Linked DNA regions of Macaca mulatta. The protein of the gene in region 1 purifies or fractionates together with the protein of each later gene. This does not show direct contact. Links are inferred from orthologs where the notes say so. Each region holds a gene or a part of one and is shown in the gene's direction. Other genes may lie near its edges.

Region 1 (3,494 bases):
ATAGTGAGCCATGATTGTGCTACTACACTCCAGTCTGGGCAACAGAGCAAGACCCTGTCTCAAAAAAGCAAAACAAAAAAAAACAGAAATGATCATTTGGCTTTCAAAGAGTTTAAACTTCAAAATTATATTCAATTTGCATTTATTTTACCTTATATGACCTTACTACATTGAAAAAGTGGAATATCTGTCAATATACTGCATTTCTATTCGTTTAATACCATTTATGGAAAACGTAACTATTATGAAATCCCTGTATACATAAGGATTTGTTTCTAAAGTCAGCAGAATATAAAATTATTCAAGAGTAACCTCTGAAAATACTGTACATCGCACATAAAGAACAGTATTTAGGCAAAGTATTTTAAAAGTCCAACTCTGCTAGTTTTTCTTGTGATCACCAGTTGATCGATCACAAGATGAAATAATTGGCACTTGTTTATAGGAATCACGTTGCATAAAATATTCGTGACTTGAAACTAGTCTGGCAGGATGTGAAAGCATGGAAACATTAAGAGAATAGCAAATTCACCTGTCCCATTTGACTCTCACTCCAGAATATACACTCATTGATTGGAATATTGTGTGGAATTGCCTACACAATTTAAATCCCCAACCCCCTCCTTTCTCTGTTCCTTGCTGTCTCTCTCTCTCTCTCCAGAACACATAAATGTGCATGTGACGTTCTACAGCTGTTCTAGGCATTAGGGATACAGAAAAGAATAATTTAGGGTTCTGCCCTTAAGGAACTCATAGTCTGTAAGTGTCCCCTTGCTGGGACACATTACAAGTTTTCCCTTTTGAGCCATATCTAAGAAAGTAGTTTCTATAGCATGGAATAGACATGCTGACTGTAAGGTTGAAAAACTAGTGGAAGAAGTGACATGTAAGTGTCCTTTATAGACTATGCAGGTTTTACCTAAAAATTGTCAACTCAGGGTTTCTGTGCCTGTAGGTTGAATATTTGCTAAGCCTAACAGAAGGGTAAATTGTATTTGTGTTTATTCTTTCAATCCTGTGGATAATGGTTAACTACACCCCTTGGATGTGATAAAATTCTTTGATGGTATCTAAGTTGTTTTCTGCTGTAGCAATACCTGAGACTGGGTAACTCATAAAGAAAAGAAATGTATTCATTTTTTACAGTTCTGGAGGCTGGTTAAGTCCAAGTCCATGGTGCCAGCATCTGGCAAGGGTCATCCATGGTGGAAGGGCAGAAGATGGAAGAGTGAGGGAGGGCAAGAGTGTGAAAGGGAAGAAAAAGGAGTCGAACTCCCAAAATAAGTAACCCATTCCCATGATAATGGCATTAGTCCAGGGCAGAGCCCTCATGACCCTGTTGCCTCCCAAAGGCCTCAGCTCCTAACACTGCTGCAGTGGCAACCAAGTTTCCAACATGTGAAATTTTGGCAGATACATTCATACCATAGCTGTTGGGAACAACCACTGTCATTTGAGTAAACTATGAGGTTGAGAAACAGGACATTATCTATTGAATTGTAGTTCTCAATTTCCCACAAAGTAGTCCTGGAATGTTGGACATGACTTGACTGTCCTGTGCCTTTTTTTTTTCTATTTTTTTTTTAAAGACCGTCTTGCTCTTGTTGCCCAGGCTGGAGTGCAATGGCACGATCTAGGCTCACTGCAACCTCCACCTCCCAGGTTCAAGCGATTCTCCTGTTTCAGCCTCCAGAGTAGCTGGGATTACAGGCACCTGCCAACACGCCTGGCTAATTTTTGTATTTTTAGTAGAGACGGGGTTTCGCCGTGTTGGCCAGGCTGATCTCGAACTCCTGACCTCATGTTCCGCCCACCTCGGCCTCCCAAAGTGCTGGGATTACAACTGTGAGCCACCATGCTCCGCCCTTTTTTCTCATTTTTAATAATAAGAGACTATCCTAGGTGACCTCTGAAATTCCTTTTAGTTCTAATATCCTATTATTCAAGAACTAGCCATTGCCATTGATCAACAGATAGAATTTTAGCATCTGCCCTGTTTACATTTTGTTTTTATTGGCTAATATTTTTTGTACCAGAATACTAAAGAATATTTATTGTGAAAGCTATTTCTTATTTTATAAAAAATTTTAGATGGTTAAGTTTATATGTACACTGTACCTTAAATAAGAATTATAACATGTCGTTTAACTTCCATGAGACTATTTTCTTATCTAGAAAATGCAAATAATAGTATACTTCATAGTTGTTGAGAAAAGCAAATTAGATTTGAAATAGATTATGACAGAAATTATAAATTGCTATTTAAATTTTGATTGTGGGGTAACTAGCTTGTAATCTTTAACAAGTCACAAGATGGACAGTGACTCCATTTTTTTTAGTTACTTTTTCATTTACATATGAATAATTTTATTGTAGGACTAAAATGTAGCAGCTGTGAACCTTTTCCAGATGGAGCCACGAACAACCTCTCCAGATCAAATTCAAATGAGAGTAATTTCTCTGAAAAACTGAGGGCATCCACTGTCATGTACCATCCAGAAGGAGAATCCAGCACGACGCCCTTTTTTTCCACTAATTCTTCGCTGAATTTGCCTGTTCTAGAAGTAGGCAGAACTGAAAATACCATCTTCTCTTCAACTACACTTCCCAGACCTGGGGACCCAGGGGCTCCTCCTTTGCCGCCAGACCTGCAGTTAGAAGAAGAAGGAACTTGTGGAAACTCTAGTGAGATGTTTCTTCCCTTAAGATCACGTACTGTTTCACGACAATGACACTTTATTGCCTTTTAATTTTTAATGATGACAAAAAATGTTTTAAAAAATATGAATCTTTTTATAAAATGGCTGTAATGATTTGTTTACATTTGATACATGTCTTTTAAAATGCGATGTAAGCATACTTTGTAAATAGGATTTTTAGAATTAAAAAAGCATGCTTTTAAGATAGCTAATTGTAAATCATGTTGATCATGTACTTTTTAGTAATTTCTTTTTTTCCTTTTTAAGGTCTTTCACTATTTTTTAAAATATTTTCTATTTTAAGACTGATTTTAATAGGGAATATATCTCTATTTGAGAATAGACTCTTACTGGGAAGAACATTTTTTCCTCAGTGCATTTGTGCTTGAAATTTTCAGTCTAATAGTCTTTGCCAGTCATTCAGCAGCAAATTTTCAGCATTAAGCTGTTCCTGTTCAGTAATAAAACCAATCACTGATGGGAAAACTGCCAATATAGAAAAATAAAAATAAAAAATCTCTTTTCCACTCCATTGTCTTATAGGCACTTAAACAGCCTTTTTTTTGAGACCGGAGGAACACTTGATGGAGTATGAGCCACCTCAGATCTCAGTTTGCCAACATTCATTTCTAATTAACATTACTAATTATACTACTTTGTTAGGATTTTCACATTCTTGGTTTAATCATTTTCATTCTTAAAGACAAATATCTTGGCCTAAACCTCAGTTATTAGATGTAATTTGATGAGGTATTTTTCTCTCTCTTTTTTTTTTTTTTTTTTTTGAGACAGAGT
Region 2 (3,652 bases), on another chromosome or scaffold:
TCTTTTCATATGGTAGGTAAATATGAATATGTTTTGGGTTTCTTTTTCATAAAAATAGTTATTTGCTTTTAAAAGGCCTAAGTTCTGGAGCGTAAACTTGAATTACATACAATTAGCTACGTTATAAATGAATACCTTATTCCCTGAGTACCATATAGACATGATAACATTAAACGTTATTTTGTTCTAAACACTAGTTTTGTTTTTAGTTAACTCACTTAAACTGCTAATTGTAAGCCACCTTGATTTAAATGCTAAGTGCTTTTTGGGGGGATTTTTATATCAACTTGTCAAATTTTCTAGAAGTTTAACCTGACCCACGTGTATAGTGTCAGTGCTAAGTAGTAGTTTTTATTAATGAAAAGTCTTGTTTTCATTGGCAATGTCAGACTTTTAGAGTAGATAACAAGCATTCTGTTGGCACATTTAAGAGTGGCCTTTGTAGGAGGGAAGAGTTCAGATAGCTTATATCTGGATTTTTTTTTTTTTTTTTTTTTAAGACAGTTTTGCTCTGTGATCAGGCTGGAGTGCAGTGACGTGGTCTTGGCTCACTGCAACCTCTGCCTCCCGGGTTCAAGCAATTCTCCTGCCTCAGCGTCTTGCGTAGCTGGGACTACAGGCATGTGCCACCACGCCTGGCTATTTTTGTATTTTTTGTAGAGATGGGACTTTGCCATGTTTGGCCAGGCTGGTCTCAAACTCCTGACCTCAAGTTATCCGCCTGCCTCAGCCACCCAATGTGCTGGGATTATAGGCGTGAGCTACCGCACTCGGCCATTATATCTAGATTTTGAAATCTCATGTTTGTTTACCAGTAGTAACAGGTGTATAGACGATCAGGTGTTATGACAGATAGCACACTTGTTGCTTCTGCTGTCAGGCATGTATATGTTTCTTTCTTTATAAAGACAGGCTCCTGAGTATGTAATGAAATGGGCCTGCAAAATCTGCAGATGACAAGGATAAACTACTAGACTTTTTTTTTTTAACTTGATTTATTGATGAAGACTAGTAAAAACTTATGGGGGTGGGGTGTTAAGTCTGTTCATTATCTGCTCTATTAATACTTAGGATACTTTATTTTGATATATTCGAATGCGTAGAGTAGATACCGTTTAATGAATAAGAAGCAGTTTAATTGAACAAGGTTGGAAACCTAATGTTTCTGTATTTCTCTTTTAAAGTTATTCCTTATTGATTTTGGTTTGGCCAAAAAGTACAGAGACAACAGGACAAGGCAACACATACCATACAGAGAAGATAAAAACCTCACTGGCACTGCCCGATATGCTAGCATCAATGCACATCTTGGTATTGAGCAGAGGTAAGTTTGAAAATGGAATGTGCTTATCGTAGCCACAGCAGAAGCCATCAATGGGTTTTTGAAATATTTCAGTTTCTTACAATGTCTGAGGATGTTTCTTGGCTGAGACTTTGAAGGATGCTTATTAATCATTTTACCTGCTGTTTTAGACAGTGTAGAGAAGACCGTTAAATGAGATCTTTTGAATTTGTTGTTGTTGTTGAAGGTTGTCTCTTGGGGGGAAAATACTGTGTGATATAAAGTTAGAAGCATAAGTGCAATGTTGACGTTTCTTTTTGCAGCTGAAGATAGTACGTATATTTTTGAAGCTATTCGGGACTTTTTATACTTTAGTAATTCACGTTGAGTTTGGGAAGAATGCATTATTTATTTTTGAAAGGAAAATGTTATCAGTATCCTAATAAACCAAAAGTGGGTTGATGGACCATCTCCTGTTATACTTCACTCAAATATGTAAATTAGTATGATCTAGTTTAAAGTAAAAAAGTGTCACAGTCTCTGCTCTCTTCCTGTTTCTTCACATGAGTTCTAGAGTTTCAAGTTCCTTTCGTCTTTTACAGTCACTTTTCGCTCCTTAAAACAAGCATAGAAGTAATTAGTGGGAAAAAGCAATGATATGACTCCAGGTTAAACAACCTCATACCAAGAATTTCAGGCTTAAGAAATATCCATGAATATCTTAATACTCTAGGTTAAACTGTAATGTCACTTTTTCCGTACGCCAAGGCATTACCTACACCTACCCTTAAATATATATATCTCTAAATATATATTTGTATGTATGTATATATAGATATGTATGCATGAATACATTCATATAGATGTTCAATTAGTTTAAGTCGTAACTCCTTTTCAGTGCTCCTGAAGTTTTTAAAATGAGTTTCTGCAAAACATAGGAATGTCATCCTGCTTGGTTCATTAAGCTCATTTAGAGGGTTGTTTAGCCAAATCCTTTTTCTTCTTTTAAAATTAAATTGTAAGATAGTTGTTTGTCTTATTTTGGATTCTGTGGGAAAAGTTTTGTTTAGAGGTAGGTAGCACACAAACTTTTTAAAATCACCTTAAATAAGTAGCTTCTTGCGTAAGACACCAAATAGTGTTCCCTCCTCATTTGGGAACATTTCTCCTGGGTACTTGGCTTTCTTTCATATGTTTTTCGTAATAATATTTCCAGTTTATAAAGTTACGTTCTCTTTTCTAGTCGCCGAGATGACATGGAATCATTAGGATATGTTTTGATGTATTTTAATAGAACCAGCCTGCCATGGCAAGGGCTAAAGGTAAACCAGACTCACGTTATCAGATTTTTCTGTCTCTTTTTTAGAATAAAAATATATATTGGAGAAGATAAGATTTAAGGTCCTTTCTAAGTCTGAGATTTTTCTGAGATAATAAAGAATTAACCTTAATTTACTTTTTACCTTTTATTTGGGAAAATGAAACCAGATCATTTTAGTAAGAACTTAGTTCAGCTGAAGAACAGTGTCCTCTGAGAGACAGTAAGCTGGTACCCACTGGTAGCCACTAGCTCTATCCAGATGGAAGTGGACATGGACTAAGAAAGGTGGAGACTTTCTCACGTTAATATGTTGCCATTATGTTGAAAATGTATGTTTTTATGTACAGCAAAACCTGTTTATCCAGCAACACATGTCCTAACATTTTGTTTCTATTAGCTAGGAGTTTACCATTACTTTTGTGAGTGTGTGTTAATGATAAATCACCGTGTCCTAATTTTGGGTGGGGGTGGGGGCACAGGGAATGGTCATGCTCTGTTGCCCAGGCCGGAGTGCAGTGACACAGTCGTGGCTCACTGCAGCCTCAACCTCCTGGGCTCAAGCAATCCTCCTGCCTCTCAGCCTCCTACCTGTAGCTGGGACTACAGGAACATGCCACCATGCCCAGCTAATTTTTAAATTTTTTTTGTAGAAACAGTGCCTCACTGTGTTGCCCAGACTGGTCTCAAACTCTTGGGCTCAAACAATTCTCCCACTTCAGCATCCTAAAGTACTAGGATTATAGGTGTGAGTCACCACTGTTGGTGTGTCCTAAATTTTAATGGCTATTTTTGTACCTTACCTGTTCTTTAAAGAAATACCTGTATTGATTGAGTGACTGTGAGCTAGTGCTCAGTCCTTGGGTAGGTGGCTTTATCCAATATGAGTATTTTCACTTTAGAAAAATATTGTGACTTATACAGTTAACTCCATTTATTAATGTCACTAATTGATGAACAAACTTTTTTTTGTATTAATCTGATGCCTTTGCCCTTGTGTTGAACATGGGTTAAGAAAATGCTTTTCAGGCTAAGCATAGTGGCTCATGCCT
Region 3 (4,266 bases), on another chromosome or scaffold:
TGAGTTCAGAATGAACAATTCTTGCTATATATATTTTCCCACATGTTAGGAATGTTCTGTAACTTTCCGAGAAATAGTGACTTGAACTAAATACTAAACTACTACCAAGCCCCACGTGCATTTTTGGAAGTTTTTAGTCATTGGGAGCCATGGCATTTCTTTTCTCTGTATTACAAACTGTTACACTCACTTTCTTTGACTATTAACATTGGAACAGTAGACCTCCTGTTCTGTGACTGACTGGCAGGCAGAAATGACACGGACAGGAAATGGGAAATGGTTCAGGGTCTTGGAATTCCCCCGGCTGCCTAATTAAGTGGTTCGCTATTTGGAAGTTTTTAAAATATTTGCCCCTTGGAGTTCCCCAGAGAGAAGCAAGCATTGGATTCAATGGGCAAAGAGCGTCAACTTCAAAAGTCATTCGTTGGCTGTCATAGCACAAACATTTACTGCATGCCACTGTGTCTATGGCACTACTGGGGGAGTATGGCGGAGGGATACAAAAGGTCCATCACTAGTAAAAGCCAAGGGTGTTTGTTTACAAATTTTCTATTACCTAAGCATTAAAAAAAAAAACAACCTTGGGCTTCTCTGTGGTTTATGTACAATTATATGTGCATGTACACCAATACACAGGCGGACGTATATATTTCATTTTATTGAAACATTCAGAAAATACTGGGAGTGAAGCCTGACTTGCAATACCGTTCCCGTTGCTGGCAATGAGCATCTGAAATAATGACACTTTTGTCTTTAGTGCATATGCACTGTTTGTCTCCAGAACAGAAAACCAAAAGTTTAAAAACAAGATAACCTAGTTGATTGTAAAACTCATCGAGTCAAAATTATTCATCAGATGCTTCCTACTTTCCAACGCTTCGCTTTTTTCGATTTGCACAAACAGCTGTTGAACGCTGATGCTACACAAACGGTTACAACTGTTTACTTGAGCAAAAAATGCCATCAGACTGACTCCATCCTCAAAATGCAGTCATCTCGACGGGGGAGGCATCACACTAGGGGAGCCTTGCCAGGGGCCAGATCATAACCCTGAGGTGACACAGGGTAGACGCGCAAAACCACCGGCGCCAGGGCGTTTCCGCAGGGTTTCCCAAGAGTCAAACGCAGCGGCTCACGGTTTGCCACGTCCCCCAGGAGAATGGTAGGCACAGAGAGAGAGGAAACGTGGAGGGGGCACAAACTGCAAGGTGAAGAAAACGAACAAACACCGAGTTGATACGGATAGTCCCCGTTCCCCTAAGGGCCGACCCCGCGACTCCCGATGGGCGTCCAGTTGCGCCGGGGGTCCCTGAGCCTCCCAGCGTCTTTCCCGGCGGTTAGTCGCCCCACGGCCGCAAGTGCGCTCGGTTTCGCTTTCCGGCCCCAGCCTCCCGGGCGCCCTCGCGCGGCTGCCAACGCGAGTCTCCGGCCGGGCGCGCTGACGTCATCGTGCGTCGGCGTGAGCCCGGATGGGGCGGCGGGCTTCGGGAGCGCCGGAGCTGACCCGAGCCGAGGCGGCCGTGTCTCCTTGTCGGTACCGCCGCTTCCCGGCTCTGGGGAGGCCTCTAGGCTGCCGCGCAGCTTCCTTGTTTGCTGCGCCCGCACTGCGGTGAGTGCTGCTCCTTCCGGACTCGGGCGGCGCGGGGAGGGTGGGGACGCGCGGGCCCGCGGGGGCCCACTTCCCTGATGTGGCGGCCGGGCGAGGAAGGAAGGGGCCAGAGGCCCTTCGGCCAAGGGTCGAGGGTCGCCGGGGGCTCTCTGCTTTCTACTCTCGCCAAGGTTTTATTGGATTCGGAAGCCCAAACTTCAAGACTTGCAGTCAAAGCCGTTTTTAAAATATGACTTGTTTTCAAACCTCCTCTGGCCGCCGCCCACTCTTCTGGCCCTTGGACTTTGACCAAGATGTTTTCTCGCAGTTTTTGCAAGGTTTTAAACAGCCCTCGGCGTTCTTTTAATGTAATACATTGAAACGAAGATATTTCGGTGGCGGTGATATTTCATATTTCATAGTTGCCACTGCGCTCTGTCATTCCAGTAGTCTGTTGTGTATTGTGAGAAACAACTCTGGGTAATTATTGGGTAAATCCCATAGTTTCTATTCTTTTCTCTTCCATCCTATCCCCTGTCCAGCTGCAGTTTGCATAAAGAGAATGCTGCAGTACGGTGCTCGCAGATAAAAGTCTTTCGTTTAAAGATAGTATATAAAAAATCGCGTGTAATTAAAGCAATCATGCCAGTGGGCGTCAGGCCACTGTTTCACAGGCCGCTGTGTTAGGTTTTGTTTTCGGTTGTTTTCTACCGTCGTTGCTTTGAAATTGTAAGGGATTGGCAGAGTTTAAGGGTTTATATTAATGAACTCGTGGTACATTTTACTGCAGTTTTCCTAGTCGCGGAGAGACTTGATATTACAAACTAACGTTGCTGTCTGATTACTGCTGTACTGCTGTTGACAGGGTTTAGTGGAGTACCTTGTCGCTCTCTCTGCCTTTTTCACCAATGTTCCTTTGCCTCCAGCAGAGTGCCAAAGATACCTTTAGGTCAGAAAAGGGGAGGAGAGCAAGGACAAAATGTTTTCCTGTGTGAAAATTTCCATCTGTCTCTAAAGTTGTGCTTTTTAAAGACACGTATAGTTAGTGCTATGGGAGTATGTTGCATTTATTTATTTTAATTAAGAGCTTTTTCAGTTAGAAAGTTGTGACAAATTGCTGGAAATTAAGATGTGTTATCTAAAATGTAAATTATTCTTAGACTTTAGTGAATAAATTGAAGAGTATGTAAGTTCTATTTGGCATGCAAATACGGTTTTCTAAAATACCTTTTGTTTTTTCTTTTCAGATTTACAGCCCTGAAGAATCCTCCTCTCCCTTTCCCCTTGCAGTAATAAATCCCATTTTGGAGATCTCGAAGCTTTATAAAGGGATATAGTTTGAATTCTATGGAGTGTAATTTTGTGTATGAATTATATTTTTAAAACATTGAAGAGTTTTCAGAAAGAAGGCTAGTAGAGTTGATTACTGATACGTTATGCTAAGCAGTACTTTTTTGGTAATACAGTATTTTGTTAGGCGTTTCTGATAACACTAGAAAGGACAAGTTGTGTCTTGTGACAAATTGATTAATGTTTACAGCATGACTGATAATTATAGCTGAATAGTCCTTAAATGATGAACAGGTTATTTAGTTTTTAAATGCAGTGTGAAAAGTGTGCTGTGGAAATTTTATGGCTAACTAATTAAGTTTATGGAGAAAATACCTTCAGTTGATCAAGAATAATAAAGTGGTATACAAAGTTAGGAAGAAAGTCAACATGCTGCAGGAAATAGAAACAAATACAAATGATATTTAACAAAGATAGAAGAGTTTATAGTTTGTGAACTTTAAGCCAAATTCATTTGACATCAAACACTATAACAGGCACAGGTTCAACAAAGCTTGTGGGTGTTGACTTCCCCAAAAGTTGTCAGCTGAAGTAATATAGCCCGCTTATGTAAATACTATGGTGATAAGCTGTGTGAACTTAGCCTTTAAATAGTGTGACCATATGAAGATTTTAATTACTTTTGTTTATTGGAATAAAATGAGATTTTTTGGGGACATTATATTAAAGTGCTTATAGGGAAAGAAGCCTGCATGTAATTTTTTACCTTGTGGCATAATCAGTAATTGATCTGTTACCCAGGCTTCATAGCTTGTAACCAAATATAAATAAAAGGAGTAATTTAGGTATTCTGTAGTTGCTTAGAATTTTGAGAATATAAATCTCTGTGAAAAATCAAGGAGTTTCAACATTTTCAAAAGGGCATCCACCTCTCAGGGCTTTAGGTTAGTATTACTCAAGATTATGAACAAATAGCACTTAGATTACTTAAAAGAGTTACTACAACCCCAAAGACTTGTGTTCCAAGTAGTATCTTGGTAATTCAGAGAGAGACTCATCCTACCTGAATATAAACTGAGATAAATCCAGTAAAGAAAGTGTAGTGAATTCTACGTAAGAGTCTATCATTGATTTCTTTTTGTGGTAAAAATCTTATTTTGTGTGAAGAAATTTCATGTGACTGTTTTAGCTATCAAACAGTACTGTCACCTACTCATGCACAAAACTGCCTCCCAAAGACTTTTCCCAGGTCCCTCGTATCAAAACATTAAGAGTATAATGGAAGATAGCACGATCTTGTCAGATTGGACAAACAGCAACAAACAAAAAATGAAGTATGACTTTTCCTGTGAACTCTACAGAATGTCTACATATTCAACTTTCCCCAC

Evidence for each region.
Region 2: the proteins of BCL10 (region 1) and CSNK1A1 purify together in Homo sapiens (affinity purification with western blotting; 4 studies listed by BioGRID and IntAct, with this or other methods). This does not show direct contact. The link is inferred for Macaca mulatta from reciprocal best matches to the Homo sapiens genes BCL10 and CSNK1A1.
Region 3: the proteins of BCL10 (region 1) and BIRC2 purify together in Homo sapiens (affinity purification with western blotting; 3 studies listed by BioGRID and IntAct, with this or other methods). This does not show direct contact. The link is inferred for Macaca mulatta from reciprocal best matches to the Homo sapiens genes BCL10 and BIRC2.

What each region holds. Positions count from the first base shown.
Region 1 is NC_133406.1:155,296,017-155,299,510, forward strand, and holds the end of BCL10 (B-cell lymphoma/leukemia 10), read left to right. Parts: intron 1-2,376; coding exon 2,377-2,732; 3' UTR 2,733-2,888; downstream 2,889-3,494. UniProt on the Homo sapiens protein: Plays a key role in both adaptive and innate immune signaling by bridging CARD domain-containing proteins to immune activation.
Region 2 is NC_133411.1:158,474,064-158,477,715, reverse strand, and holds part of CSNK1A1 (casein kinase I), read left to right. Parts: intron 1-1,184; coding exon 1,185-1,324; intron 1,325-2,525; coding exon 2,526-2,604; intron 2,605-3,652.
Region 3 is NC_133419.1:103,217,163-103,221,428, forward strand, and holds the start of BIRC2 (baculoviral IAP repeat-containing protein 2), read left to right. Parts: upstream 1-1,463; 5' UTR 1,464-1,609; intron 1,610-1,626; exon of another isoform or gene 1,627-2,068; intron 2,069-2,835; 5' UTR 2,836-4,093; coding exon 4,094-4,266. UniProt on the Homo sapiens protein: Multi-functional protein which regulates not only caspases and apoptosis, but also modulates inflammatory signaling and immunity, mitogenic kinase signaling, and cell proliferation, as well as cell invasion and metastasis.